7 linked regions of the Oryctolagus cuniculus genome follow. The protein of the gene in region 7 purifies or fractionates together with the protein of the main gene of each other region. This does not show direct contact. Links are inferred from orthologs where the notes say so. Each region holds a gene or a part of one and is shown on either strand. Other genes may lie near its edges.

The links.
Region 1: the proteins of POLR3B (region 7) and POLR3G fractionate together in Homo sapiens (co-fractionation; 4 studies listed by BioGRID and IntAct, with this or other methods). This does not show direct contact. The link is inferred for Oryctolagus cuniculus from reciprocal best matches to the Homo sapiens genes POLR3B and POLR3G.
Region 2: the proteins of POLR3B (region 7) and CRCP purify together in Homo sapiens (affinity purification with mass spectrometry; 5 studies listed by BioGRID and IntAct, with this or other methods). This does not show direct contact. The link is inferred for Oryctolagus cuniculus from reciprocal best matches to the Homo sapiens genes POLR3B and CRCP.
Region 3: the proteins of POLR3B (region 7) and POLR3D purify together in Homo sapiens (affinity purification with mass spectrometry; 8 studies listed by BioGRID and IntAct, counting the BioPlex papers as one, with this or other methods). This does not show direct contact. The link is inferred for Oryctolagus cuniculus from reciprocal best matches to the Homo sapiens genes POLR3B and POLR3D.
Region 4: the proteins of POLR3B (region 7) and POLR3H purify together in Homo sapiens (affinity purification with mass spectrometry; 8 studies listed by BioGRID and IntAct, with this or other methods). This does not show direct contact. The link is inferred for Oryctolagus cuniculus from reciprocal best matches to the Homo sapiens genes POLR3B and POLR3H.
Region 5: the proteins of POLR3B (region 7) and POLR2L purify together in Homo sapiens (affinity purification with mass spectrometry; 5 studies listed by BioGRID and IntAct, with this or other methods). This does not show direct contact. The link is inferred for Oryctolagus cuniculus from reciprocal best matches to the Homo sapiens genes POLR3B and POLR2L.
Region 6: the proteins of POLR3B (region 7) and UXT purify together in Homo sapiens (affinity purification with mass spectrometry; 3 studies listed by BioGRID and IntAct, counting the BioPlex papers as one, with this or other methods). This does not show direct contact. The link is inferred for Oryctolagus cuniculus from reciprocal best matches to the Homo sapiens genes POLR3B and UXT.

Annotation. Positions count from the first base shown.
Region 1 is NC_091445.1:13,194,646-13,198,618, forward strand, and holds the start of POLR3G (DNA-directed RNA polymerase III subunit RPC7), read left to right. Parts: upstream 1-1,173; 5' UTR 1,174-1,360; intron 1,361-1,820; exon of another isoform or gene 1,821-2,041; intron 2,042-3,973. Other genes in the region: acyl-coenzyme A thioesterase MBLAC2, read right to left, coding at 280-745. UniProt on the Homo sapiens protein: DNA-dependent RNA polymerase catalyzes the transcription of DNA into RNA using the four ribonucleoside triphosphates as substrates.
Region 2 is NC_091450.1:66,207,975-66,211,474, reverse strand, and holds part of CRCP (DNA-directed RNA polymerase III subunit RPC9), read right to left. Parts: intron 3,229-3,500; coding exon 3,192-3,228; intron 923-3,191; coding exon 824-922; intron 1-823. UniProt on the Homo sapiens protein: DNA-dependent RNA polymerase catalyzes the transcription of DNA into RNA using the four ribonucleoside triphosphates as substrates.
Region 3 is NC_091439.1:1,079,462-1,083,513, forward strand, and holds the start of POLR3D (DNA-directed RNA polymerase III subunit RPC4), read right to left. Parts: upstream 2,801-4,052; 5' UTR 2,667-2,800; exon of another isoform or gene 2,625-2,666; intron 2,433-2,624; 5' UTR 2,428-2,432; coding exon 2,263-2,427; intron 1,139-2,262; coding exon 1,095-1,138; intron 1-1,094. UniProt on the Homo sapiens protein: DNA-dependent RNA polymerase catalyzes the transcription of DNA into RNA using the four ribonucleoside triphosphates as substrates.
Region 4 is NC_091442.1:117,537,247-117,541,379, forward strand, and holds the start of POLR3H (DNA-directed RNA polymerase III subunit RPC8), read right to left. Parts: upstream 2,801-4,133; 5' UTR 2,721-2,800; exon of another isoform or gene 2,701-2,720; intron 2,483-2,700; 5' UTR 2,463-2,482; coding exon 2,352-2,462; intron 1,729-2,351; coding exon 1,632-1,728; intron 1-1,631.
Region 5 is NC_091432.1:353,577-356,331, reverse strand, and holds POLR2L (DNA-directed RNA polymerases I, II, and III subunit RPABC5), read left to right. Parts: upstream 1-1,252; 5' UTR 1,253-1,322; coding exon 1,323-1,417; intron 1,418-2,019; coding exon 2,020-2,128; 3' UTR 2,129-2,255; downstream 2,256-2,755. UniProt on the Homo sapiens protein: DNA-dependent RNA polymerase catalyzes the transcription of DNA into RNA using the four ribonucleoside triphosphates as substrates.
Region 6 is NC_091453.1:33,158,954-33,161,735, forward strand, and holds the end of UXT (protein UXT), read right to left. Parts: intron 902-2,782; coding exon of another isoform or gene 838-901; intron 643-837; coding exon 516-642; 3' UTR 501-515; downstream 1-500. UniProt on the Homo sapiens protein: Involved in gene transcription regulation. Acts in concert with the corepressor URI1 to regulate androgen receptor AR-mediated transcription. Together with URI1, associates with chromatin to the NKX3-1 promoter region.
Region 7 is NC_091442.1:109,083,798-109,087,297, reverse strand, and holds part of POLR3B (DNA-directed RNA polymerase III subunit RPC2), read right to left. Parts: exon of another isoform or gene 937-3,500; coding exon 763-936; intron 1-762. UniProt on the Homo sapiens protein: Catalytic core component of RNA polymerase III (Pol III), a DNA-dependent RNA polymerase which synthesizes small non-coding RNAs using the four ribonucleoside triphosphates as substrates.

The sequences.
Region 1 (3,973 bases), on a different chromosome or scaffold from region 7:
CACGACGCGCACTGCCCGGGACGCGTCTACACCACCAAGAGCCTGGGAACCCGAGCGCCTGGCGAGGAACCCCGGGTCGGGGATGGGGGGGCTCCCCTGCAACACGCGCAGGCAACTGCCCGGGGAGGTGGGGCCGGCTCCTACGCGGTGCTCGGAGCCGGGCCCGGGCAGGGGCAGGGGCGGCGGCAGTGGGCCCGGCTCGTACACCGTAACGCTCCCGCCGCGGCCGCGCGGGTCTGCGACCCCCATGCCCTCCCTCCGCCCGCGGGGGCTCATTACCATCTTGCAGGATGAGCGTGGGCTGCACCGCCTGCACGCGGAACTGCCTGGCCCGCCAGCCGGGGCTGGGCGCCCGCACCACCTCGCTGTCGGAGAGCCAGGTCACCGTCTCAAAGTTGTCCCCGCGAGCCAGCGCCTCGGCCTCGGCGTGGTGCACCGCCACCCGGTCGAACTGGTAGAGGCCGCCCGAGTGGTCGAAGTGCACGTGGGTGGCCACGGCCAGCAGCGGCCGGCCGGCCGCCGCCGCCTCCTCCTCCTCCCTGGCGCTGCGGTCCTGCAGGAGGCCGGAGGAGTACAGGTACTCGGGCAGGCTGCGCAGCCCCAGGCCCGTGTCGATCACCACGTCCTGCTCGGAGCCGCGCACCAGCCAGATGTTGGCGCGGTTGCCCGACTCATAGAAGCGCTCTTGGATCCAGAAGACGCCATCGCCCAGAGACTTGTGCGCGAACCACTCGAGCGCAGACATGCTGGGCGGGCGTGTGGGCGCGCGGGCCTCCGCAGCCTGAGAGCGCGGGGGACGTGGGGCGGAGACGGAGGCGGCGCAGAGCCGGCGGCGGGAGGCGCGGCCGGACGCCGCTGGACCGCGCTGCCCGCCGCAGAGCGCGGGAGCCGCTTGGCACCGCGGCGCCTCCAGGCGGGGGCCACTGCGGCACGCCGGAGACACGGCGGCGACACCGTCCCCGCCCCGGGGGTGTGCGTGTGGGGGGGTGCGGGGCTGACTGCAGAGGCCGGGTGGGGCGCGGCTAGGGGAGCACCAGGCCCACCCAGCCCCGGGGCCCTCCGCGATGCGCGCTCCCGGACGGCGGGGAGCGAGTCGGGCCGAGCCGGTTGGACGGCGGCTACGGCGCCTGCCAAGGGCTAAAAAGCTCCCGGCCCCGGGGGTGGGGCTTAGCGGGGGCGAGGGGGCGGGCCCGGCTCGGGGCGCTGGGAGCGCGGCGCCGCGGCCGCGTGGAGAGCGGTGCGCGCTTTTGGAACCGGCGGCCGCCGAGCGCTGGAGTCCGGCGCCTGGAGCCTCTGCCTGGCCGGCCGGTCAGTACTCCAACTGCAGTTTTTGCCCAAGCCCGGAGCCTGGAGCGAGCAGGTACCCGAGGAGGCAGTGGAGGGCTTGGGAGGGCGCACAGGGGAGATGGAGGGGTGCGTGGACAAGTCGGGGAGACCCGGCACCTTGCCTCCGGAGTGAGGGGCGGGGGAGGGGGCCTTGCCTCCGCCGCTCCCGCTCGCTTAGAATGTTTTAAAAATCCTCGTTTGCAGCTCCTGCCCGGTCTGCACTTCCTGGCCGCTGGGAGTTTGAAGGGGGGGATTTATGCACTTACTGATGGTGGGTTGGCCGGAGCTGGTGGCTCCGGGACTGACTCGGGCGCTGGGCAGTGCCGCAGGCTCCCCAGGTTCCGTGCCTCGGACCCCGCAGGTGGGGCGGCGCTGCTGACACCGCGCCGCTTCTTTCCGGCTCTTTAAAAATTCCGTGTTCTCCCCCCCACCCCCCCACCCCCCGCCGCCGGTTTTTGTTATCCTGCTCTTGGGTGAGAGCAAAGAAAGTTTGTAGAGGGCTCCACTGAGTAAAAGGCGGGGCACCTAGGATAATGACTGGGTGTGGCCCCGCCAGCCCTGGGAGTGGTCCCTGGCCCCACTCCACCCCTGGCCGCCGAGAGAGCATCTCCTGTCTAGCCAGGACAGATTGTAGAGAGACCCAGGAGACAGCAGGATGAAAGCCCACGAGGGTCCTTTCGGGGGCAAGTGCTCCCAAGCCCTCCTGGAGGTGCTGGTGGACCCACGCCCCTCCCCCCGCACTCGTGGAGTGCGCAGCTGGATAGAGGTTGACCACTCAGCTGGGGGCTGGCCTTACACCCAAGTCCTTGAGCTGTGTGAGGAGGAAAGTTGGAGTATCTGGGCCCAGATGCTGGTGATGGAAGGCACGGCCTGTGGACCCCACCCCAGGAGGGGAGAAGTAAATGCTGCACAGTTGGAAGGGGCTGATGGGAGTGGCGCTGCAGCTGGCCTTGGAAGGTGCTGGTAGGAGCTTAGCAGCCCTGCTCTGTGCCCTCTGGGGCTTTTCCTCCATGCAGGGGCGAAGCTGTAGGGGTGAAATGCAGCAGCACCCTTAGGTAGGAGCTCAGCAGCAATTCACCCCGGAACCACGGGACTTGGTTAGGGATGGCATTTGAGTCTCCAAGGGAGCTTCAGCTTGCTGGTCCCTGTGCCTGGATCCCCAGCTGGCCCTCCCTGGACGGCCTTTCCTCCTCCGGGCAGCTTTTCCCTCCCTTGTGTCCGGTGTGTGCTCCGATATTTCTGAATAAGAGAAGACTTTTGCAGCTACCCGTTGTGCAGTAGCACCCGTGTTTTCTGTTTTATTATTTTTTTCATATCACCTGTCACTCCCTGACATTTTTTTTTTTTTTTGACAGGCAGAGTGGACAGTAACAGAGAGAGACAGAGAGAAAGGTCTTCCCTCCGTTGGTTCACCCCCCAATGGCCGCTGGGGCCGGCGCACCGCGCTGATCTGAAGCCAGGAGCCAGGTGCTTCCCCTGGTCTCCCATGCGGGTGCAGGGCCCAAGGACTTGGGCCATCCTCCACTGCACTCCCGGGCCATAGCAGAGAGCTGGACTGGAAGAGGGGCAACTGGGACAGAATCCGGTGCTCCGACCGGGACTAGAACCCGGTGTGCCGGCGCCGCAAGGCGGAGGATTAGCCTATTGTGCTGCGGCGCCGGCAATCCCTGACATTTCTTATAAAATCATATTTTGTCCATATCCCATCTTAGACTATGCACGCCATGAGAACAGGGATCTTGCTTTGTTCACAGCTGAATTCCTACTCCATAAATGAAGGCCAGGTACAGAGGGTACTTTTTAATAAATACCTGATGGGTGGCTCACTGGGGCGCCCCCTGGGAGACCAACAAGTCCTGACAGTTACACCATGATGATTAAAAGGACCACAGGAGCCGGGTTGTACTTGGGAACCAGGAAGAAGGGAGTGGCTTGCCACCCAGTAGGGTGGTGGAAATGGTCCCAGAGAAGCATCAGGTGTATGGCTCAGAAGATGCTAGGGTGTGCTCAGGCCGATGTGGCAGGAGGGACCCTGCAAGCCGGAGCAACCCCGCGTGCAAGAGTGAGGATGCTTTGCTGAGGGGCAGAGCTGGCCTCGGAAGCGCCACTGGCTGAGGAGGGTGACGGGTAGCTGCAGAGGAACTACCAAGGGGCAGTGGACTGTAGAGGTGTATTTGTTCCATTTTATTTCTTGTCATTTCATTTGTTCTGCTTTGGAGGTCCACATGGGAGGTGCCGAGAGTCTGAGCAAAAGCAGAGTTGGAGGCCGGGGAGTAGGGGCGAGAGAACACGGAGCTGGTGGGCTTCTGCTGTCGGGTGAGGGGATCGAAGGAGACCTCCAGATGGGGTGACGATCAGGCTCCTACGGGGGCACATTCTGGGCCCTTCATCAGGAGAGAGCTGTGACCTGGCTCTCACTGCCTCCCCCTGCATCAGCGTCTGCTTCCGTCCCTGTGTCTCTACGTCTGTCTGGTTAGTTTGAGCGAGGGCCCGAGTCATGCTGCTGGGATGATGGGCCTGGGAGGGATTTCGGAGATGAGCTCAGCTCTGCCAGAGGTCGCCTTGCACCTGGTGAGAGTGGACTTCTGCATTGCAGCTCTTGGATGGTTCAGCTCCACCCGTCTGCAGCCCTCCTGGGGGTAGTGGC
Region 2 (3,500 bases), on a different chromosome or scaffold from region 7:
CTGGGAGGCAGCAAGTGATGGTTCAAGTAGGTGGGTCCCAGTCACCCAAGCAGGAAACCTGGACTGAGTTCCCAGCTCCTGGCTTCAACCTGGGCCAAGCCATTGCCGGCATTTGAGAAGTGAAACAGCAGATGAAAGCTCTGTCTCTACCTCTCAAAGAAATGAATAAGTAAATAATTTAAAAATCAACATCAGGTAGCAGGTTAAGCTGCAACCTGCAACACTGACATTCCATACGAGCAATGGTATCAGTCCCGGCTGTTCTCTTCCAATCCACCTCTCTGCTAATGTACCTGGAAAAGCAGTGGAAGACCCAGATGGAGCTCCAGGCTCCTGCCTTCAGCCTAGCCCAACCACGGCCGCTGTGGCCATTTGATGAGGAGACTAGCAGAGGGAAGATCTCTGTGTCTCTCTCTTCAACTGTCTAGGTTGCTTTGCCTTGCAAATAAATCAATCTTTAAAAGCAACAACAACTGTATCCTTTCCCTGTGATGCATGTACAACAGTCATGACTATAATAGCTTTCAGTCAGATCTGTGAGTCATGCAGTAAATTACAGAAGCCTCAGGATGAGGATTCCCAAATATGGAACTGGGGTTCAGAGGTGAGGGCAGTCAGACTATTCCTTCCACTTTTGTGGCTAACTAACCACTTCTGTTGGCCAAATCACCCCCACTTTTATATAAACAGAATAAACACTGGGTTAGAGTAACACTCCGCACATGAGGTAAGAGGTGATCTTGATTGGGTGGCCAGTTATCAGCAGAGTAAACCAACAGCGCTCAGTGGTGGCTTAGGGAGGCCTCCAGAAGCCCAGGCTTACTTCATAGGTGATAGTATTCAAGTTCTGTTGCCCAGAACTCTGTTTATTCTTCCCACTTTGTTTACGCCGCTCTTTCAGATCAGTTAGTAACTGGAACACCTAGGAAGAGATATACAAAAGACTTTATAAATACATTTGAGAAACGTTCTATTCCAAGGTCCATGATACTGGAAGATAATTAGGGGGTACGGCACTGTGGCATAGTGGGCAAAGCCTCGGCCTGCAGCACCGGGCATCCCATATGGGTGCCTGTTTGAGTCCCAGCTGCTCCACTTCTGACCCAACTCTCTCCTTATGGCCTGGGAAAGCAGCAGAAGATGGCCCAAGGGCTTGGACCCCTGCACCCACATGGGAGACCCAAAAGAAGCTCCAGGCTGCTGTCTTCAGGTTGGCCCAGCTCCAGCCATTGTGGCCATTTGGAGAGCAAACCAGTGGATGGAAGATTTTTCTGTCTCTCTCTTTCTCTCTCTAACTCTACCTCTCAAATAACTAAATAAAATCTAAAAAAAAAAAAAAAAAAAAATTTTTTTCATGTACATTTAAAAAAAAAGACAATTAGGTAAGTATAATACCTCTTTCTTCCTTACAACCTGCCTCCCAACTCTTGGATTGGAGTAAATATGAATCCCAGAAGCATGAGACATTTAAAAAATGCTCTTTTATCTAAATCAAATAATCCAAATTATTTTAATTAAAATATTTCAAATGTTTCCTATCAGTATATGCCATCTAACTGATCTCTGATCTCAAAAAACATACCAGATATTTCAAAAATATATAAATATTTTTATATTTAGATAAGAGTATAAAATAAATAAATTTTGCTAAACTAAATATATAATATTTTTAAAAAGGGTTTTGTTCCTCTAATATGAAAATTTAGCATAATAATTTCTTTCCAGAAAAGAAAAATTATGAAGCAAGTGATTTAATAGTTTTCAAAAAAGAAAGGACGAAATGCTACATTTCCCAGCAAGAGAAAAACAGATGTGTATCCATGCTGGGGTGGGAGAAGGGATCTCTGCTGTTTCAGAGACTCTGCCAGAAAATGGAGGGAAATACAGGCTCACAGACCATTATTAGATACAATGCAACTCCTATCCCTGCCTGCTGTTCCTTTTACAAATACATGGGGCCCAGTGAATGCATGGTGTCCCCAATGGACAAAAGATCAAACACCTAGCAAAGTTCAAAATGGACAAAGAGGTTCCTAAAAGCCAATGGGCTGACCAACAGACATTTCCTTCCTGTTTTAAGCAGCAACCATTTAGGATGAACCTTTTGGAAGGAATACAGCCAATCGTGTTTATTCCAGTACCTTCTCTAAATATCACACAATGGAAACTCAGACCTCCTTTAACTCTTTATGAGTTTAGACTCTGGCATATGGAAAACTGGGCCTGTCAGATGCTGGTACCAAATAGGCCCTGTGCAAAATAGGTACACAAAATACTATCACATCTCCTCCTTCATCAACCTCTTTCTTTCCTCCCTTTCCCCAGCAACCCTACCCTGTAAGTCCCTTAAATTTTAAGTCTTCTAATCATTCATAATGGTGATTCAACTAAACCTTTACTTTCAAAACAAGGATGGTACCACCTATGGACTGAGGATCAAAATAATAATGTATAAAAAAGCATTTCATAGGTAAAATGGGTAATTATGAAGAGAAATAAGCATTTTATTAGAAAACTTTTGCACACAGAAACAGTGCTAAAATAGATGGCTTCCATCCCAAGAAGGCATCCCCAATGGTTACTAGAATTTTGAGGACTTAGAAAGTTTGCTTGATTTAAAGTCTTCCCATCTTCCCAGAAATACTACGTATGATTTATCAAGCCTCAAATAATTCAAGATCCAACCGACAGGGCCGTCTATCCTGTTTTAAAAGTGAAAACCCGGCCGGCGCCGCAGCTCACTAGGCTAATCCTCCGCCTAGCGGCGCCGGCACACCGGGTTCTAGTCCCAGTCGGGGCACTGGATTCTGTCCCGGTTGCCCCTCTTCCAGGCCAGCTCTCTGCTGTGGCCAGGGAGTGCAGTGGAGGATGGCCCAGGTGCTTGGGCCCTGCACTCCATGGAAGACCAGGAAAAGCACCTGGCTCCTGGCTCCTGCCATCGGATCAGTGCGGTGCGCCGGCCGCGGTGGCCATTGGAGGGTGAACCAACGGCAAAGGAAGACCTTTCTCTCTGTCTCTCTCTCACTGTCCACTCTGCCTGTCAAAAAAAAAAAAAAAAAAAAAAAAAAAAAAGTGAAAACCCAAATGAATCCAGTAATTTCTAACTAAATCTAATTCAACAATCCCCAGAAGTAAAGAGATACCTTTCTGGGAGAAAAACATATACAACAGTCCACTTCAAAGCCACTTACCTCATAGTTACTGAGCAGTGCAGAATTGGCATCCTTCCTGCAAAAGAAAAGTAAGTTATTATCAGTCCAGGCTTATACCCTTCTCTGGGTATTAAATATCATAAAAGAATCCAGTAATCCAGTTCAGCAATTTGGGGACTACATCCTAAAACTGAGAAATGTCCTAAATCCTACATGGTTTAGCAGGTTGTAGACAACTTCAGAGTGTTCTTTCTTTTTTATATCCACAGCATATCACACACCCATCACCAAGCAGATGATTAAAATACTATACTTGTCCCAATTCTATACAGGCAGAAGTATGAGTTC
Region 3 (4,052 bases), on a different chromosome or scaffold from region 7:
TCACATCTGTCTGACCTCCTTCCTGCCACGGGCTATTCTGATAGTTACAACATCATTCTCAGGCCATACACAGTCATCAACTTACATTAGCTGCCCGGAGAGTTAACTGAATTGGGAGTTCTGCCCACGGCTGCCTTGGCAGGGTCACACCAGATTTCGTGGGCCACAGATGTCCTGCAAGCCGGACACTCCTCACCCCAAATTTAAACTGTTGCCTTTCAACTCTGGCTGCAAGATAGCATCACTCTGTTTCACTGCAAACTAGTCCAATCACAATTTCTAGAGATGCAGCATTGGGGATCTGTATTTTTTGAAGGCCTGCACTTTAAGAATCACCTGGCATCCTACATGGGCGCCAGTTTGAGTCCCAGCTGCTCCTCTTCCAATCCAGCTCCCTGCTATTGTTGGGAAAGCAGTAGAAGATGGCCCAGGTACTTGCGTCCCTGTACCCACATGGGAGACCCGGAAGAAGCTCTTGGCTTCCGCCCGACCCAACACTGGCCACTGAGGCCATTTAGAGGGAAATGAACTAGCGGATGGAAGACCCACCCCCACCCCCCTCTCTGTAACTCTGCCTTTCAAATAAATCAATCTTTAAAAAAAAAAATCATTTGCAAGCCAGGGTTAACAATCACCAGTGCAAGGCCGGTGCTGTGGCACAGCGGGTTAACACCTGGCCTGAAGTGCCAGCATCCCTTATGGGCACCAGTTCTAGCCCCAGCTGCTCCACTTCCCATCCAGCTCTCTGCTATGGCCTGGAATGGCAGTGGAGGATGGCCCAAGTCCTTGGGTGCTTGCACCTGTGTGGGAGACCTGGAAGAAGCTCCTGGCTCCTGGCACGGATCAGCGCAGTTCCGGCCGTTGCAGCCAAACTGGGGAGTGAACCATCGGATGGAAGACCTCTCTCTCTCTCTCTGCCTCTCCTCTCTCTGTGTAACTCTTTCAAGTAAAATAAATGAATCTTAAAAAAAAAAAAATCACCAGTGCAAAGAATGGACACACAAATTTTTACACTTCTGAGCCATAAGCTAGTTACTTCCCCCACAGCCCCAGCCTGTGCAAAGAAACAAGGGGCAAGTATTCAGGCTACTTACTCTTCCTTGATCTTCCGGCTGATGATATTTGGGGTGAAAGTTTTCTGAAAGCAAAATGCAAGAGTCACTGACTTGATCCGTTCTGACCCCCCAAAGGGCATCTCCTGGGGACCAAGCCCACCCTGAGGCCCTCTGCACACACTGCGCTGTCATCACACCTTCACACAGACACACAGCTGCCTGGCGAGGAGAGCCATCCTGCCACGGCGGCAGCACAGTCACACGGGCAGCAGGGAACCCGACACCATCCTAACTAGCAGCTTCTGCCCTCTGAGAGCCCCACCAGCACCTCCAAATGCAAAGAAACCTGTCTGATGTCTCTCATCTCCAGTCTGCTACGGGGGCCAATCAGTACCACAGGCACACAGCTCTCGCTCAAGGCCCAGGCAGGGAACACAGATCTGCCAGCACTCACAGAGGACATGGTTAGACTGGCACCAGACTGGCCCGAGACACAGGTAAATCTTTCAAAACTGGCTGCTGTCTGCTCTGTCTCATTCCCTGTCACCCCCAACCCTCTGAGAGCTCCTCACAGCCACAGTCACGTGGAAAAGGGCACCGGGCCCCAATGCCATGCCCAGAATCTACCAGAGGATTCTGGGACCCTCTCAAAACTGACAGCGGCGTTTGTGCTTGTCTGGCTATCTTAGGGTTCTTAAAGGGGGCTCCAAACAAACACTAAGGGGTCAGCGGGTCAGTGTTGTGGTGCAGTGGGTTAAGCCTCTGCCTGGAATGCCAGCATCACACTGGGGCGCCAGCTCGGGTCCTGGCTGCTCCACTTCCCATCCAGCTCCCTCTGACGCACCTGGGAAGCCAGAAGATGGCCAGACGCAGTTCCTGGCTCCTGACTTCAGCCTGGAACAGTCCGGACCATCGGGGCCATTTGGGGAGTGAGCCAGCAGGTGCATGCCAGCACTCTTTCAAATACACAGAGCATTTTCTACAACACACACGCACGCACAATGAAAGTAAACCCTGCTCTTTGGAACGTCTGGAACCAGGCGCGATCCTCTGAAAACCACCTCAACAGCTCGTGGCCAGCACCCAGACTTGACTGAGCCCCAACACCACGCCCAGCACACAGCAAGCCACACAGGGGCATCTGCTGAATCTGGGAGCCTGGAGTGCCAAACAGCTGAGTGTCCTGAGAAACGCGCCGGGCGGGTACCTTCTTGACTCCCCCGAGAGTGAGGTCCCTGGAGCGGATGGAGGGAAGGCGGCCCGGCGTGGGAGGGGGCGCAGGCCGCCGCCCGATGAGCCCCCGGGCCCCTGAGAGCAGGGGCCGGGGGGTGCCCGGAGCGCCGGGCTCGCCCGCGGCGCTTCCTTCCGACATGCTGCCTGAGAGAGAGAACGGGCGCCCGGTCACCGGCGGAGACGGACCCGCGAACCCGGGGCGGAACCGCACTCACGTGGCGGGCCGCTCCCCCTGCAACCCGCCCCCGACGCGTCCCTCGGGCTGCGTCTCGGCTCCTCCCCCTCCCACGTGGCGAGGCGCCCCGGACCACCCCGGCCGGAGCCCTTAGCTCTAACCTGCCCTCCCAGCCCCCCGCCAGGCCCGAGGCAGGAACGCACACGCCGCTGGGGCTCCGCAACCGCGCGTCCCCACTTCACAGCCGACGCCACTCGCCGCCGACCCCTAGTCTCCGCGCCGGGCGGAAGTCTGCGTGGCAGCGCCTGGGCGCCGCCATCTTGCCGCGGGGCGGAAGTGACGATTGGGGGCGGGGCTAGGCCACAGTATTTATGAGGCGGCGTCTCGCTGCCCTCCGCCTTCTCTTCCCGGTTCTTCCCGGAGTCGGGAAAAGCTGGGTTGAGAGGGCGAAAAAGCTGGGGTGAGGGGGGCCGGTCCGGGCTACGTTACGGGGCGGCGTTTGTGGGTCGTGGCCTCGGGCCAGGGGTGGGGGCGCCGAGCTCCAGGCAGCGCCTTGGCGACCCCCACCCCACGGGGCAGTGGGGACGGGGGCGGAATTCGCCGCGACTTAGCCGCTCGGAGCAGTGGGGTCGCGCGTCGGGGTGGAGTGCGGGGCCCGGCTGCAGCCCCGGGCAGCCCCGGCTGCGGGCGCTGTGTGGTGACCTTGGGGCGGTCACTGCCGCGGGGCAGCGGCGGGGCGTCCGGGGTGGGCTCAGGGGCGTCTCCGGAGCGGCTGCCCCGTCCCCCGTTCTGGGCTCAGGGTCGCCCGGGTCCTGGAGAGAAGACGGAAACCGAGTCTGCTCTGCCGCGGGAGGGACGGATCCGATCAGCTTCTGTCGTGACTCTGGCCCTTGTGATTTGACGGGAAAAGTGTCCTTCGGGGATGGCCGGAGTTCTGGGGTCCTGCGCCCACGTGGGAGCCCTGCCTACGGCTCCTGGCTTCGGTTCCCATCCCAAATGACTGTAACACCCTGGGCTGGGCCAGGCAGAAGCAAGGAGCCTGGGCCTCGTGGGATGCTGGTATCACAGGCAGCAGCCTGGAATTTTTTTTTTTTTTTTTTTTTTTTTTTTTTTTTTTTTTTGTAAGGCAGAGTTAGAGAAATCTTCCATCCGCTGGTTCACTTGCCAATTGGCCACAAAGCTGGGATCTCCCACGTGGGTGCAGGGGCCCAAGGATTTGGGCCATCTTCTACCACTTTCCCAGGCACATTAGCAGGGAGCTGGATCACAAGTGGAGCAGCTGGGACTTGAACTGGCGCCCACTGCAGGCAGCGCCTTTACCCACTGGGCCAGAATGCCAGCCCAGGGACTGGATCTTGATTTACCTGTTTCCCTGTTTGGACATTTGGATTTTTTTTTTTTTTAAGCAACATACATAGTGAACATATGGTGTGTTAAACTTTTTTCTTCTTTTGAATTATTCCCCTGGGAGAGATTTCCACTTCGGATAACAAGCAGAAAGATGTACATTTCTTTCTTTCTTTTTTTTTTTTTAAGACATTTATTTATTTGAAAGAGTTAATACAGAGAGAGAAGGAGAGAGAGAGATG
Region 4 (4,133 bases), about 8.5 Mb from region 7:
TAGGCTGCAGTGCCAGCACCCCTCACGGGCACCGGTTCATAGTCCCACTGCTCCACTTCCAATCCAGCTCCCAGCTAATGGCCTGGGAAAAGCAGCAGGAGATGGCTCAAAGTGTGCCCTCCCAGCCATGTGGGAGACCCGGATGAAGCTCCTGGCTTCCGGCTGGCCTGCCCCCTGCTGTTGTGGCCATCTGGGGAGTGAATCAGTGGATGAAAGATCTAACTCTGCCTTTCAAAGAAATGAAATAAAAATACATAAAAAATAGAAGTGGGAGGGGCCGATGTTGTAGTGTCGTGGATGAAGCAGCTGTCTGCAACCTAGGTGGGCACCAGTTCGAGTCCCGGCTGCTCCACTTCCTATTCAGCTCCCGGATGAAGTGCCTGGGCCCCTGCACCATGTGGGAGGCCTGGATGAAGCTCCAAGCTCCTGGCCCAGTCCCAGCTGTTGTGGCCATTTAGGGAGAGAACCAGCAAATGAACAAGCTCTGTCTCTCCCTCTTTAACTCGGCTTTTCAAAATAAATAAATACACACATAAGTCAAAACAGCGGTGCAAACCCTACACCAGGTGTCAGAAATCAAGCGAGCAGAGATCCCTGCGACCTCACTTCTCCTCGAGGCCCTCGTGCCTGTGACCACCTGTCTCCTGGACAGCCAGGCCCCGTCCAGTGCACACCAGGCTTGGCCTGGTGGCCTCCTCTGTGGCCAGGGGCCCTCAAGACGGCTTCCATGCCACGGTCTGATTTTTCTACTCATACAGACAGCCTGTTGTGCTCTCTGCACCGCACGGCAACACCGTGTGGACCAGTGAGCTCTCGGGATGCCGGGACAGACGCCTGGCAGCCTCCCGGCACGTGCCGGAATGCAGACACCCCTGCGCTGGGCGCGCACCAAAGCTCGCAAGGTCAGTGCTAAGCTTTGCGTCCTGTGCCCCTGAGGTCCCCCCCGGCCTGCTCTTCCGTTCCCTCTGCCTCTCTCTTCTTTTTTTTTTTTTTTTTTTGACAGGCAGAGTGGACAGTGAGAGAGAGAGACAGAGAGAAAGGTCTTCCTTTGCCGTTGGTTCACCCTCCAATGGCCGCCGCGGCCAGCGCGCTGCGGCCGGCGCACCGCGCTGATCCGATGGCAGGAGCCAGGAGCCAGGTACTTTTCCTGGTCTCCCATGGGGTGCAGGGCCCAAGCACCTGGGCCATCCTCCACTGCACTCCCTGGCCACAGCAGAGGGCTGGCCTGGAAGAGGGGCAACCGGGACAGAATCCGGCGCCCCGACCGGGACTAGAACCCGGTGTGCCGGCGCCGCTAGGCGGAGGATTAGCCTAGTGAGCCGCGGCGCCGGCCTGCCTCTCTCTTCTAACCGCGAGGGCCACTCCGGCGTCCCCACGCTCCTGGCCTGCCCTCTCCCAGGGCAGTGAGTGGCCAGAGCACCAGGCAGACAGGGCTTGGCAGTGGGCGGGAGGAGGGGCACAGCCATGGACCACAGCCTCGGACCCAGAGAGGCCTTGAGAGTCGCCGATCCACCCCCGCCCCGGCAGACGCTCAGGCCGAGGGGGAGGGGGCTGCCCACTTCCAGGGTCCCCAGGTGGGACAGGACCCCGGCCATCTCTGCCAGGAGCCCCAGCCCCGAGAAGACGCCTACCTTTGGTGTGCGACGCGCCGTCGCCTGGAAACACGTAGGCGTCCTCCAGCTTGGTGATGTCGAAGAGGCAGATGCAGAGTCCCACGTTGTACACCACCTGCGCCGCGACACACGGTGACCGCGGGCTGCCGCCACCTCCCGCCCCCGCCCATCCAAGCCGCAGCGCCTCCAGGACAGGCGCCCGGCTCCGCCCACCGGGCCGGGGCCCTGCACACCTCTCTCCCACCCACAAACCCTCTGGTCAGCGCCTCCCGGCCAGCAGGGCTCAGCCTGGCCGCCGGCTCCCACCACAGCTGCCTGACCCCCTCGCTGCGGACGCGGCTCCCTCGTGCCACAGGTTCGCGAGCACCAGTCCCTGGCAGCGTGCACCCCAACTCGTCACGCCCAACGAAGGGACCCCCGCTCCGCCTGCTGGTCGGGACACCGCTCCGCCACTCATCCACTCCATCAACAGACAGGCATGGAGCAGGCAGGCAGAGGTAGAGAGGGAACAGAGCCGTGACGGGCGCGCGCTAAGCCGGGGCCACCTGCATCCCGCGTCAGACGGCTGGTCCGCGCCCCAGCGGCGGCGCACCTGCGGCGGGCCGGCAACTCGCCGCAGACGAAGGGACCCGCGCTGTGCGAGCGCGCACGCCCCAGGCACGAGCCCCCTTCTCAGGCCCGTCCTCGGCCTCTCCCCCGCTCCCCGCCAGCCCCCGTGAGGCACGCTCCGCCCCGCACCTTGTTGGCCAGCTTCTTGTTCAGCTCCTCGGCGATGGAGTCGTTGAGCTTCCTCTCAAACTGCCAGGGGGGGATCCGCACGGTGTCCACCATCTCCACCAGGACGAACATCCCGGCCTGCGCTGGCGGCTCTGCGAGAGGGACGGGCGGTCACGCACCGGGGCCTGGGGTCCTGGGAGCCCCGTGCCCGACCGGCCCCCCTCAGGCCAACAGCGGGGCTGCGCGGTAGCGTCTGCGGCGCCCGGCGAGGGCCATGCTCGGCTGCGGAAGCGACGGGAAACAGAGGCCCGGCGGGCAGCGCCCTCGCTGGAGCGCACGGCACGAGAGCCCCTCCGCCCCGCGCCCGCACCACGCGCCGCCGCCTCGCACCGCGCACGGCACGCAGCTGCGGGAGTTAACCACCGTGCGCGAGATTCCGAATCCCGTCGCTTCCGGAGAGCCGACCAATAAGAAGCTTCTGTCCGCCCCCAGACGCGGGGCGGGGCTCTCTACAGGCTGCCGCACGGGGAGGGGCGGGGCCTCCCCGGGAAGACCCGGCGGCGCCTCTCGTTGCTAGGCAACCCCCTGCCGCTCTCCCGGGCTGGGGCATCTCTTGCTTGCGGGTCCCCGCATCCGGAACGATCCTTGCAAAACGCAAGTCGGCAATGCTTCCGACCTTCCGCCCGGAGTCGGGGAGCCCTGACAGGGAAGTAGAACGGAGGGACCCTTCCTGGGTGATGGAAATATTCTCGACCCCCTTTTAGCTCTTCGTAGAGCTGACAGCTCTCATCAGACTCCGTGCATTTCATTGTAGGCAGATTACATCTCAATTTGAAGTGATAATCAATTGGGACTATATATATAGTCTCTATATAGTGTATGTATATAGAATATATAACAGTGCATATATATATAGTATACACACGCGCGCGCACACACACACACACACACACACACACTCCTCTGTAGCTTCCCGCTGAACTGAGAATAAAGTCCAAAACCTTCCTTCCTGGCGGCTCACTGGGCTCTGTGCGATCTGGCCCTGGCACCTCTCTCCAGCTTTGCCCGTTCTGTTCCCCCCAGGATCCTGTCCTGTCCCTCTGACAGGACACTAACGCGGGCTAAGAGAACTCAGCAAGCTGTCCAGGGCCACCGGCTGCCACGTGCCAGAGATGAGCCCCTCTAAGCTTATACCCGTGCTGCCTCTAAGAGTTGGTGGAAGCGCCGGCGCCATGGCTCACTTGGTTAATCCTCCGCCTGCGGCGCCCGCATCCCATGTGGGTACCGGGTTCTAGGCCTGGTTGCTCCTCTTCCAGGCCAGCTCTCTGCTGTGGCCCGGGAAGGCAGTGGAGGATGGCCCAGGTGCTTGGGCCCTGCACCCGTGTGGGATACCAGGAGGAAGCACCTGGCTCCTGGCTTAGGATCTGCACAGCACCGGCCATGGCGGCCATCTGGGGGGTGAACCAACAGAAAAAAAGAAGACCTTTCTCTCTGTCTCTCTCTCTCGCTAACTCTGCCTGTCAAAAAATAAAAATAATATAAAATTGGTGGATATGGGAATAACTGGATTTTCATTTTGTTTTTTTTATTTGAAAGTGAGAATTACAGAGAAAGAGGGAGAGGCAGAGGTCTCCCATCCACTGGTTCACTCCCTCAGATGGCCTCAACAGCCAGCACTGGGCCAGGCCAAGGCTAGGAGCCAGGAGCTTCTTCGGGGTCTCCCACATGGGTGCAGGGGCCCAAGCACTTGTACCACCTGCTGCTGCTTTTCCCAGGCCATAGTAGAGAGCTGGATCAGTGGGG
Region 5 (2,755 bases), on a different chromosome or scaffold from region 7:
CGCACGCGGAATCCCAGGAATGCCGCCTTGGCCAGGGCCCCCGCAGGGGAGGGCGGCTCACTCCCCCACTCCCACAGTAAACAGCGGCGCCCAGTGGGAGCAGGGGCGGGGCAGGCCCCTGACCCCTCCCCCAGGAAGGCCCCACTCACGCGCTGGGCGCCCACCGGGCTGGCCTCCCGGACCCGGGCTCCCTCTCCTCCACAGCCGCGGCCGCCGAGCCTGGGTCTGACCCCAGGCCACGGTGACTCACGGCCCCATCCTGCCCCTCTGGCCAGGGCAGGATGTGCGTCCACTCAGCCTGGGGGAGGGAGGCAGAGAAGGGAAGTGGCCAGGGCTCGTGGCTCCGCACGTGGCCGAGAGGGCACTAACCCTGGCAGGGCAGTGGCTCTGGGCAGCCCCACTCCGGACCTGAGACCCTTCGTCCCCGTCCCTGTCCAGCGTCTGCCCTGAGCGGGCACTCAGCAGATGCCGGGGTCCCGCGTGAGGACCCCGCCCCGGCCACACATCCAAGGCCAGCAAACCTGGCCAGAGCCCCGCGGGGGCCACGGGCAACACCCCCACAGCCCTGCGGCTCCCCAGCCCGCCTGGGGCAGCCGGGGCACCAGGCTCAGCCCGGTCCACCCGGGAGGCAGCAGCCCCGCCCGTGGAGCCCCTGAAGGGGACGCACAGCTGGGGCTGCCCCTACGCGGGGGCCCTGGCCTTCGAGGGTCAGCTCAAAGGGGCTGACCACACGCCCAGCGCCAGGCCCGGGAAAGAGCGAACAAGACGCCGACAGACTGCCGTCGGGGCTCCCAGCAACTCCCCGCGGGGACCCGAGCCTCGCGCAGGGCTCAAGGGACAGCGACCGGGTCCAGGCCGGGCCGGGCCGGGAGGCGGGAAGGTCCGTCCGAGGCCTCCCGCCCCGGGGCCAGACCCTCTCGCCGGGCCCCTCGCCCGGCCCCACTTGTTGCTGCGACCGGCCTGGGGCTCCGCACTGGAGGTGGCGCTCGCGCGCCGCGGCTGATGTCCGCGTCCGGGTCCAGCCGGCGCCCGCGTAGTACCTGGGCCGCCGCCTCCCGCCGCCGCACCGCGTCGTCCGCTCCCGCCGCGCAGCTGTCAGTCAAGCGGACACGAGAAACGCGAACCGGCGCCGCCGAGCCCTTTTGGCCGAGCCCAGTCGCCGTAGCGCGGCACGTACCAAACCGCCGGACGGGGGGCGCCGCCGGACGCGGCCTCCAATCGGCGCCGAGGAACCCCGCGCCAGTGGGCGCGCCCGGGGCGGGGCCTGCAGCGCCGCGGACGGGCCCGGCAGTGCGCGGGGCTGCCGCGGAGTGCGCGCCGCCATGATCATCCCGGTGCGCTGTTTCACGTGCGGCAAGATCGTCGGCAACAAGTGGGAGGCCTACCTGGGGCTGCTGCAGGCGGAGTACACCGAGGGGTGAGGCGCCGGGCGCGTGGGGCCCGGGGGCGGGGCGGGGCGGGGACCGGGCCCACCCGCGCCTCCTGTCCCGCGCCGCGGGCTGACGCGGGGCTGCGGCGGGGCGGAGGGGCAGGGGCTGCTTTGCCGAGGCCCCTCGGTCGCGCCTTCTCACTCCCAAGCCGCCTCCTCCGCCCCCCGGAGCCAGCGCTGCAGGAGTTTTCTGGAAGCGTCTCGTTGGTTTCCGGAAGTAGAAGGGTGGCTCCCTGAGAGTGGGGGTCCCGCGGGGCTGCGGTCGTGGTCGGGAGTCCCGGCCCCCGGGGGAGGGGGCGCCGGGGCTGCCCTGGCCACCGTGAGCCCAGCCTGGGAGAGGGCGGGCCGGGGCTGGGCCGGGAGGCTGGAGCCTCTGGGTGGGGAAGGGGTGGCCCTGGGTGGCTCCTCCCCGGTGCATCCTGGGGGGACCTGTCCACCTGGCCTGGAGCAGGGGCGAGCCCGGCTGTCTGGTCGCAGGGATGCTCCGGCCGCTGGGCCCGGGCTGGGCCGGGAGGCCGGAGCCCCCGGGTGGGAAGGGGCGCGCTGGGGGCGAGCCCGGCGCAGGCCGCCTCACTGCTGTCTGGTCGCAGGGACGCCCTGGACGCCCTGGGGCTGAAGCGCTACTGCTGCCGCCGAATGCTGCTGGCCCACGTGGACCTCATCGAGAAACTGCTCAACTACGCGCCCCTGGAGAAGTAGCGCCGCCCCGCCATGGCCCGCGGCGTCCTGCCCTGCGTCCTCGCGGCCGGGCTGTCAGACGCCGGGAGCAGAGGCGGGCCGCGCGCACGCATGTCGCCAGCCGCCCAGTAAAGTCCTTGCACAAACACCACTGGTCCCCTCCTTGGCCTCGCTCCGCCCCCCCCCCCCCAGTCCACCTGGCCCAGCTGTCTCGGGGTCCTGGTTCCTGCTCCCTGGTCCCCGCCCACCCAGCGTGGCTGCTCGTCCGAGCCTGCACTGCCTGCTGCGGTCAGCGGCTGCCCTTGCCTGGGTCCCCACCCTGTGGCCCTGTCGGGGTCGCACCAGCCCTGAGCGCCCTCAGGCTCCCGGGGGCCCTTCCCGGGCTGTCCCTGCGGGCCCAGGCTGAGGGCCAGGGAGCAGCTACTCCCAGCAACCCACACGGGGCCGAGCCCGCGGTCAGCTGGGGACGGGGACCAGGGCAGAGCAGGGCCATGGTGGCCGAGCCACTGCTGTCCCCAGGGTGTTGGCCGCATCGCAGAGCTGTCCCCGGCTCCTGGCAGGACCTGCAGGCCCCTCGTCTGCTCACTGCCTGTGCCACAGTGACCACAGTGGGCCCAGGGCCAGCTGGAGACGCCAGCACCCCTACGC
Region 6 (2,782 bases), on a different chromosome or scaffold from region 7:
ACTAAGTGCTCACAGAAAAGACAGGGTCAAGCTGTGGCTAGAGTTATTAAGGGGGCGGAACCTGGCTCTGTGCTGACTGGGGGGCTGGACCAGGGAGGGCAGAATTTGGCTCTGCGCCTATTGGTGGAAACTGGAAGCAGAGGCCAAGGTTGGGCTGAGCCTGGCGTGGGTGTAATTGATGGTACCTGAGGAACGATTGGGATTTGGGAGAAGGGTTAAACCTTAGGGCTAGGAGTGAAAGGCTGATTGCCATGGGAACAAACCTCCACCCTGAACCTGTCCATTCTCCATGGCAATTCAAAGGGCGATAGCCAGTAAAAGGAATGCAAGGAAGGGTGTGTGTGTGTGAGGTTGCCATGGTGACAGAGGGCAGAGCCTAAAGTCAAGTAGCAAATGCTGCCAGGCAATAGGCCGGAGGCAGGACTTCCAGGGTGCTTTAAAGGATCCATAGAGAAACTAGATCTTCCAATTAATGCTGGACTCTGGAAACAGGGTGCCTTGGCAACCCGCAGGAGTTAGGGGGAAAAAGAAGGGCCATGTGACTCAAAGGCATTCAGGATCTTTAATGTCGGAGGATGCGGTAAGTAGTCAATGGTGAGGCTTCTCTGGGAAATTCTGCAGGCCTTGTAGTTCTCTAAGCCCCTGAAAAAAAGGACAGAAAGGATTTAACAAGGGACGGGTCCAGGCCCCACCTCAGGCTTGCTCTGACCTCCCCGCCCTTGGATCCAGTTTAGAAGGAAAGATGGTCCTTTCCTTCGTCGGCTCTCTCCCTTCTTTAGGTCATCACCCTAACCACATCTGGACATAGAGGCTGGGAGTGGAGTGAGCTGCTCTCACCTCTAGCAACATGTGGATATGGGCCTTGATAGTCATGGAGTCCTTGGTGAGGCTGTTGCTGAGCCTGGAGAAAAGAAACGAGAATGTGCAAAGTGGGCCCCACTTATGAAGATGACCCTTCCTCATCACTTCAAGAACTACCTACATCTGGGATGACTTCCACCCATCTGCTGTGCAGAGATGCCTGACCACAGTCTGGACCTGATCCAAGGATTACCAAATGTCTAATGTATGCCAGTTTTAGGCACTGGGGAGATAGCAGCAAACACAACATACAAAAATCCTGCCTACACGGGGCTCAAATTCTTAGAGACAAATAAATGATGGACTAAAATATATGGTATGTCAGATGGTTCTAAGTATAATGAAAAAAGGAAGCAGTGATGGAGGGAAAGTAGTATGGGAGTGGGAGCTGCCATTTTTAATACAGTGCCTAGGGACAGCTCCATTGAGAAGCATTTGAGTGAAGCTGTAAAGAAGCAAATAGTGCTATATGAAGGCTGCACGGTGTTCCACACACAAGTAGCAGCAAATACAAAGGTGTTGAGGTGGGAGTGTGCCTGGCATGTTTGAGTCACAGCTAATAGGGCATTGTGGCTGGAGAAGAGTAAGTGAGAGGTACTAGAAGAGCTGAGGTCAGGGAGGTAAGGGGGTGGGTGCAGGGAGTGGGAGGCAGGCTGTGTAAACCTACAAGGCCATGTTAAAGAGCCTGGCTTTTCTGCTAAGTGAGCTGGATGCCAGGGGAGGGCTGTGAGCAGAGGAGGGAGGTGAACTGAGTTGGGTCACAGAGGATCCATTTGGATGCTGTGTAGAGTGACTAGGGATAAGGAGAGTAGTGTGGAAGCTGGAAGTCCAGTGAGGTGGCTATGGCAATAGTCCAGGTGAGCCATGGAGGATCAGACCACAGTGGCTGAGAAATGACTGGATTTAGGGTGCATTTTGGAAGTAGAGCCTACAGGATTTACCAAAGGGTCAGCTGTTGGGTGTGAGATAGGACGCTAGGAAGATGCTAAGGCCTAGGCACCCTGAATCTAGAAGTGCCTAAACCACCCTGGCTCCGGACTGCTGGGATACATAAAATAGTAAATTCCTTTTGTGTGAGCCAATTTGGATCAAGTCCCTCCTGAAATAATCCTCACTGATACAAAGAATGAGAAGGAACTGACTGAGAAAGAGTTAAGCAGCAAAAGGGCCCAGAGGCAGGAAAGAGTTTTTTAAGGAACAGCCAGGAGATCAGAAACTTAGAAATTAAGTGAACAGTGAAAGAAAGTGGTATAAGATAAAGTCCAAAAAGGTAGGAAGGGCTAGATCATGCAGGGTCTTCTTATTATGAGAAATGTGGATTTTATTATGCTGTCAATGGTGCAGTCAGTTTGAGGGGAAAATGAATCTAAGTACTGAATTAAAGTACATAGTAACAAGATAGGCTGTTACACTGGAAAAAATAGGATGAACTCATCTATATGCCAATACTTCGCACACTTTGTATTTCCAGCCCAGACCTTTCCTGAACCGGACTTGGGAGTTTTAACTCTATCTTCAAAAAATCGACTTCTGGGGCCCACCCTGTGGTGTAGTAGGCTAAGCCTCTGCATGTGGCACCAGCATCCCATATGGGCGCCAGTTCATGTGCCGGCTGCTCCTCTTCTGATCCAGCTCTCTGCTATGGCCTGGGAAAGCAGTGGAAGATGGCCCAAGTGCTTGGGCTGCTGCACCCATGAGAGAGATCTAGAGGAAACTCCTGGCTCCTGGCTTCAGAAAGGTGCAGCTCCAGACGTTACGTCCATCTGGGGAGTGAACCAACGGATGGAAGGCCTCTCTCTCTGTCTCTCCCTCTCTGTAACTCTACCTCTCAAATAAAACCTTTTCAAAAATCGACTTCAGTGTTCACTAAGCACTTCATACTTAACAGGCCTCAGATTGAGCTCTTGATCTTCCCCTCCAG
Region 7 (3,500 bases):
CCAAAGGAGGCTTTCAATTACTTATGGGCAATCTGACAAATGCAAGATATTATTTTGTAATTATTTTTTGTGAACCATGGACCAGGTCCCAGGCTGGAGACGCAGGGGTCAACAAGACAGAATGTAACCACTCAGAATGAACTAGAAGACAAGTTCCCCGTGAGCAGCCATTTACCTGTCCTGGTCACTACTGTACCAGCATTTCTGAGGCCTGGAACAGCCACGTGACACTTGATAGTGAGATACTCATTAAATATTTGCTGAATGAATGACTAAGACAGACATGGCTTCTCTCGTGGAATGTACAGAGCAAGGGTGAAGTAGCTGGCCACAGCAGAGAAAACAGACAAGGGGTCATGGCACCAGACCCTGGTCCTTTGGCTCTATCATCAATTTATTTAAGGCCCGTGGCAACCTACCTGGTTCTCTGTGTCAGAGGTTACAAATGAGGACATTTTACACAATGCATCTGCTAGGAATTTTTTGGGTAAAGAGTGTTATGAAAGGCATTTGAGATAACATTAAAAAAAAAAAAGATAAAAGTATCTACTCCTTGGAAGTTTAAATTCTAGTAAATATAAAAGCAAATTGTTATGCAGATAAACAAAACCTACAGCTTCCTCAATTACAGGCACATAGGGGGAAGGGCATGTTGGTGATCAGAGGCAGAGATGGGACAATATGGATTATCCAGGTTCAATTCTTGAGCTGTGATTTTAGAGGCAAGGGGTGTGGTAGGAGAGACACATGGGATCTACTTACCAGCCAGAATACCCCAGAAGTCCACACTGGCCACAGACATCAACCTCAAAGGCATCACTTGAAATCATTAGTCTCTCTAGCAAAAGCATGCTGGCTCCATAACCGATTAAACAGTCACGTTCCATTTCTCCAAGACGCAAGCCACCATCACGAGATCGACCTTCTGTAGGCTGCCTTTGAAACAAATTATTAGACAAATGTGTTATTATAGTAAAGAAACAAAGAGTGCCACACGCTGACTAGGAGCACAAGGCTTTGGAGCTGGGCTCACCTGGATCCAACTCACTTACTAGACAGTAACCTTGAACACTGCTGCTTAGCCTCATTGTGAAAGTGCAAAAAATTACCCATCCCAAAGAGCCTCCAATGAGAAAAGACATACTACTGGTGGTTATTAATAAATACCATAATTATATCATATGATGCAATAATGTGTTAGTATATTACCACATAAAACATTAGTGCTAGCAATATCCCAATAGTAAAGTCCTCCAATCACGGAACGATGTCTGAGCGTTCTCAGAGCTGTCTTGGTATTCTGTTATTTAAAGCAGAAAAACTCAGCAGAACAGACAGTGGCTGAAACAAGAGTCCCCTAGTAGACAGGTCTGTCCCCTGAATGGACTCCCTGTGTTTTAAATATATGATGGGAAAACCTTAAAAGGTTAAATACCCAAGAACCAGTGATGGAGGTAAAATTAGGGAATTCCGAATAATTCAGGCAACCTCACCTCAATATTAACCACACAAACTGTTTGAGAAAAGGAAAACCAAGGGAGACGTGAACTCTGTGGTTGGCTTACTTTGGAGTGATTTCTTTAAAAGACTTATTTTTATTTATTTGAAAGGAAGTTACAGAGAGAGAGAGAGCGTGCGCGAGAGAGAGGGGGGGAGGGAGAGAGAGAGAGAGAGAGAGAGAGAGAGAGAGAGAGAGGTCTTCCATCAGCTGGTTTAATCCCCAATTGGCCACAATGGCTGGGGCTAGGCCAGGCCAAAGCCAGGAGCCTCTTCCGTGTTTCCCATGTGGGTGGCAAAGACCCAAACACCTAGGCTGGACTCCACTGCTTGCCCAGCACATCAGCAGGGAGCCGGATTGGAAGTAGGGCAGCCAGGACTCAAACTGATGCCCATATGGGATGCTAGTATTGCAGGCAGTGGCTTAACCCTCAGGGCCACTATGTTGGCCCCAGAGTGACACTTCCTGGAGGAGCTCTTGGAGCAGCGTGGACCATAAACTCCAGGTTTGCTTTATTCCACAGCATCTTTTAATCTTTGTCATTGTCACTAGCTTTCTAAAGAATTAAGAAGGTGAACACAGTGTATGCCAATGTGTGTAGAAATTTTAATGCTGTTTTTGGCATGGGATTGAATGTTACAATGGAGAATCAAAAAAAGCCATAGATTACTTGTTGAAAGAAACTCTACACACGAAAAAGTCAGGTTTAAATGAACACATTATAGTAGAAACTGCATAACCAAGCACAGCATTCATACAACTTTATCTGTGGGTAGAAATAGTCACGGGTAGGTGCTCCCTCCCCTTGAGGTCACCAGATAAGGAGAGGGCAGACAGACTGACTACATGTGGGCAAGGCCTTGGATTTTAACCAACTAAGTTAACTGACTACAAATAAATGTACTTCAACCAGTCTTCAAATGGAAGACACAAAAGCAATTCAAAAAACATAACTTCTGGAACCACTGCCGTGGCGCGCTAGGTTAATCCTCCGCCTGCGGTGCCGGCATCCCACATGAGCGTCGGTTCTAGTCCCGGTTGCTCCTCTTCCAGTCCAGCTCTCTGCTATGGCCTGGGAAAGCAGTAAAAAGATGGCCCAAGTCCTTGGGCCCCTGCACCCACATGGGGGACAAGGAAGAAGCACCTGGCTCCTAGCTTCAGATCAGCATAGCTCTGGCCATTGCGGCCATTTGGGGAGTGAACCAATGGATGGAAGACCTTTGTCTCTGTCTCTCTCTCTCACTGTCTGTAACTCTACCTGTCAAATAAATAAAATCTTAAAAAAATTAACTTCTTCTACACAACAAAGCAGTGTATAGGAAGTAACAGCTCTGACATTTGTGTTACTCTGAAAGAGCGTTGGGGCTGCCACTGAAATGGCAGTGCAGGAGGGGACGGCTACTAAAGAAGGTGAGGGGAGGCCGGCACCATGGCTCACTAGGCTAATCCTCTGCCTGCGGCGCCGGCACACCGGGTTCTAGTCCTAGTCGGGGCACCGGATTCTGTCCCGGTTGCCCCTCTTCCTGTCTAGCTCTCTGCTGTGGCCCGTGAGTGCAGTGGAGGATGGCCCAAGTGCTTGGGCCCTACACCCGCATGGGACACCAGGAGAAGCACCTGGCTCCTGGCTTTGGATCAGCGCGGTGCGCCGGCCATAGCGGCCATTGGAGGGTGGACCAATGGAAAAGGAAGACCTTTCTCTCTGTCTCTCTCTCTCACTGTCCACTCTGTCAGAGAGAAAGAGAGACAGAGAGACAGAGAGAGAGAGAGAAAGAAAGAAAGAAAGTAAGTAAGGGGGTCGCTCTCCTGACCGCAACCTCTCTTCCATCAGTACAACAGATGCACATCCACTTGGCTGTACACGGGGAAGGGGCTGAGTCATCCACACCTCGCCCTTGGTTGATAAGACCATAGAACCCACACCTTACTGCTTTACTCTTCTTCCCCTACCCCCGTACGTTACCAGCCCGGCAGTACTCAGTGACAGCAGGGAGGGAACTGGCTA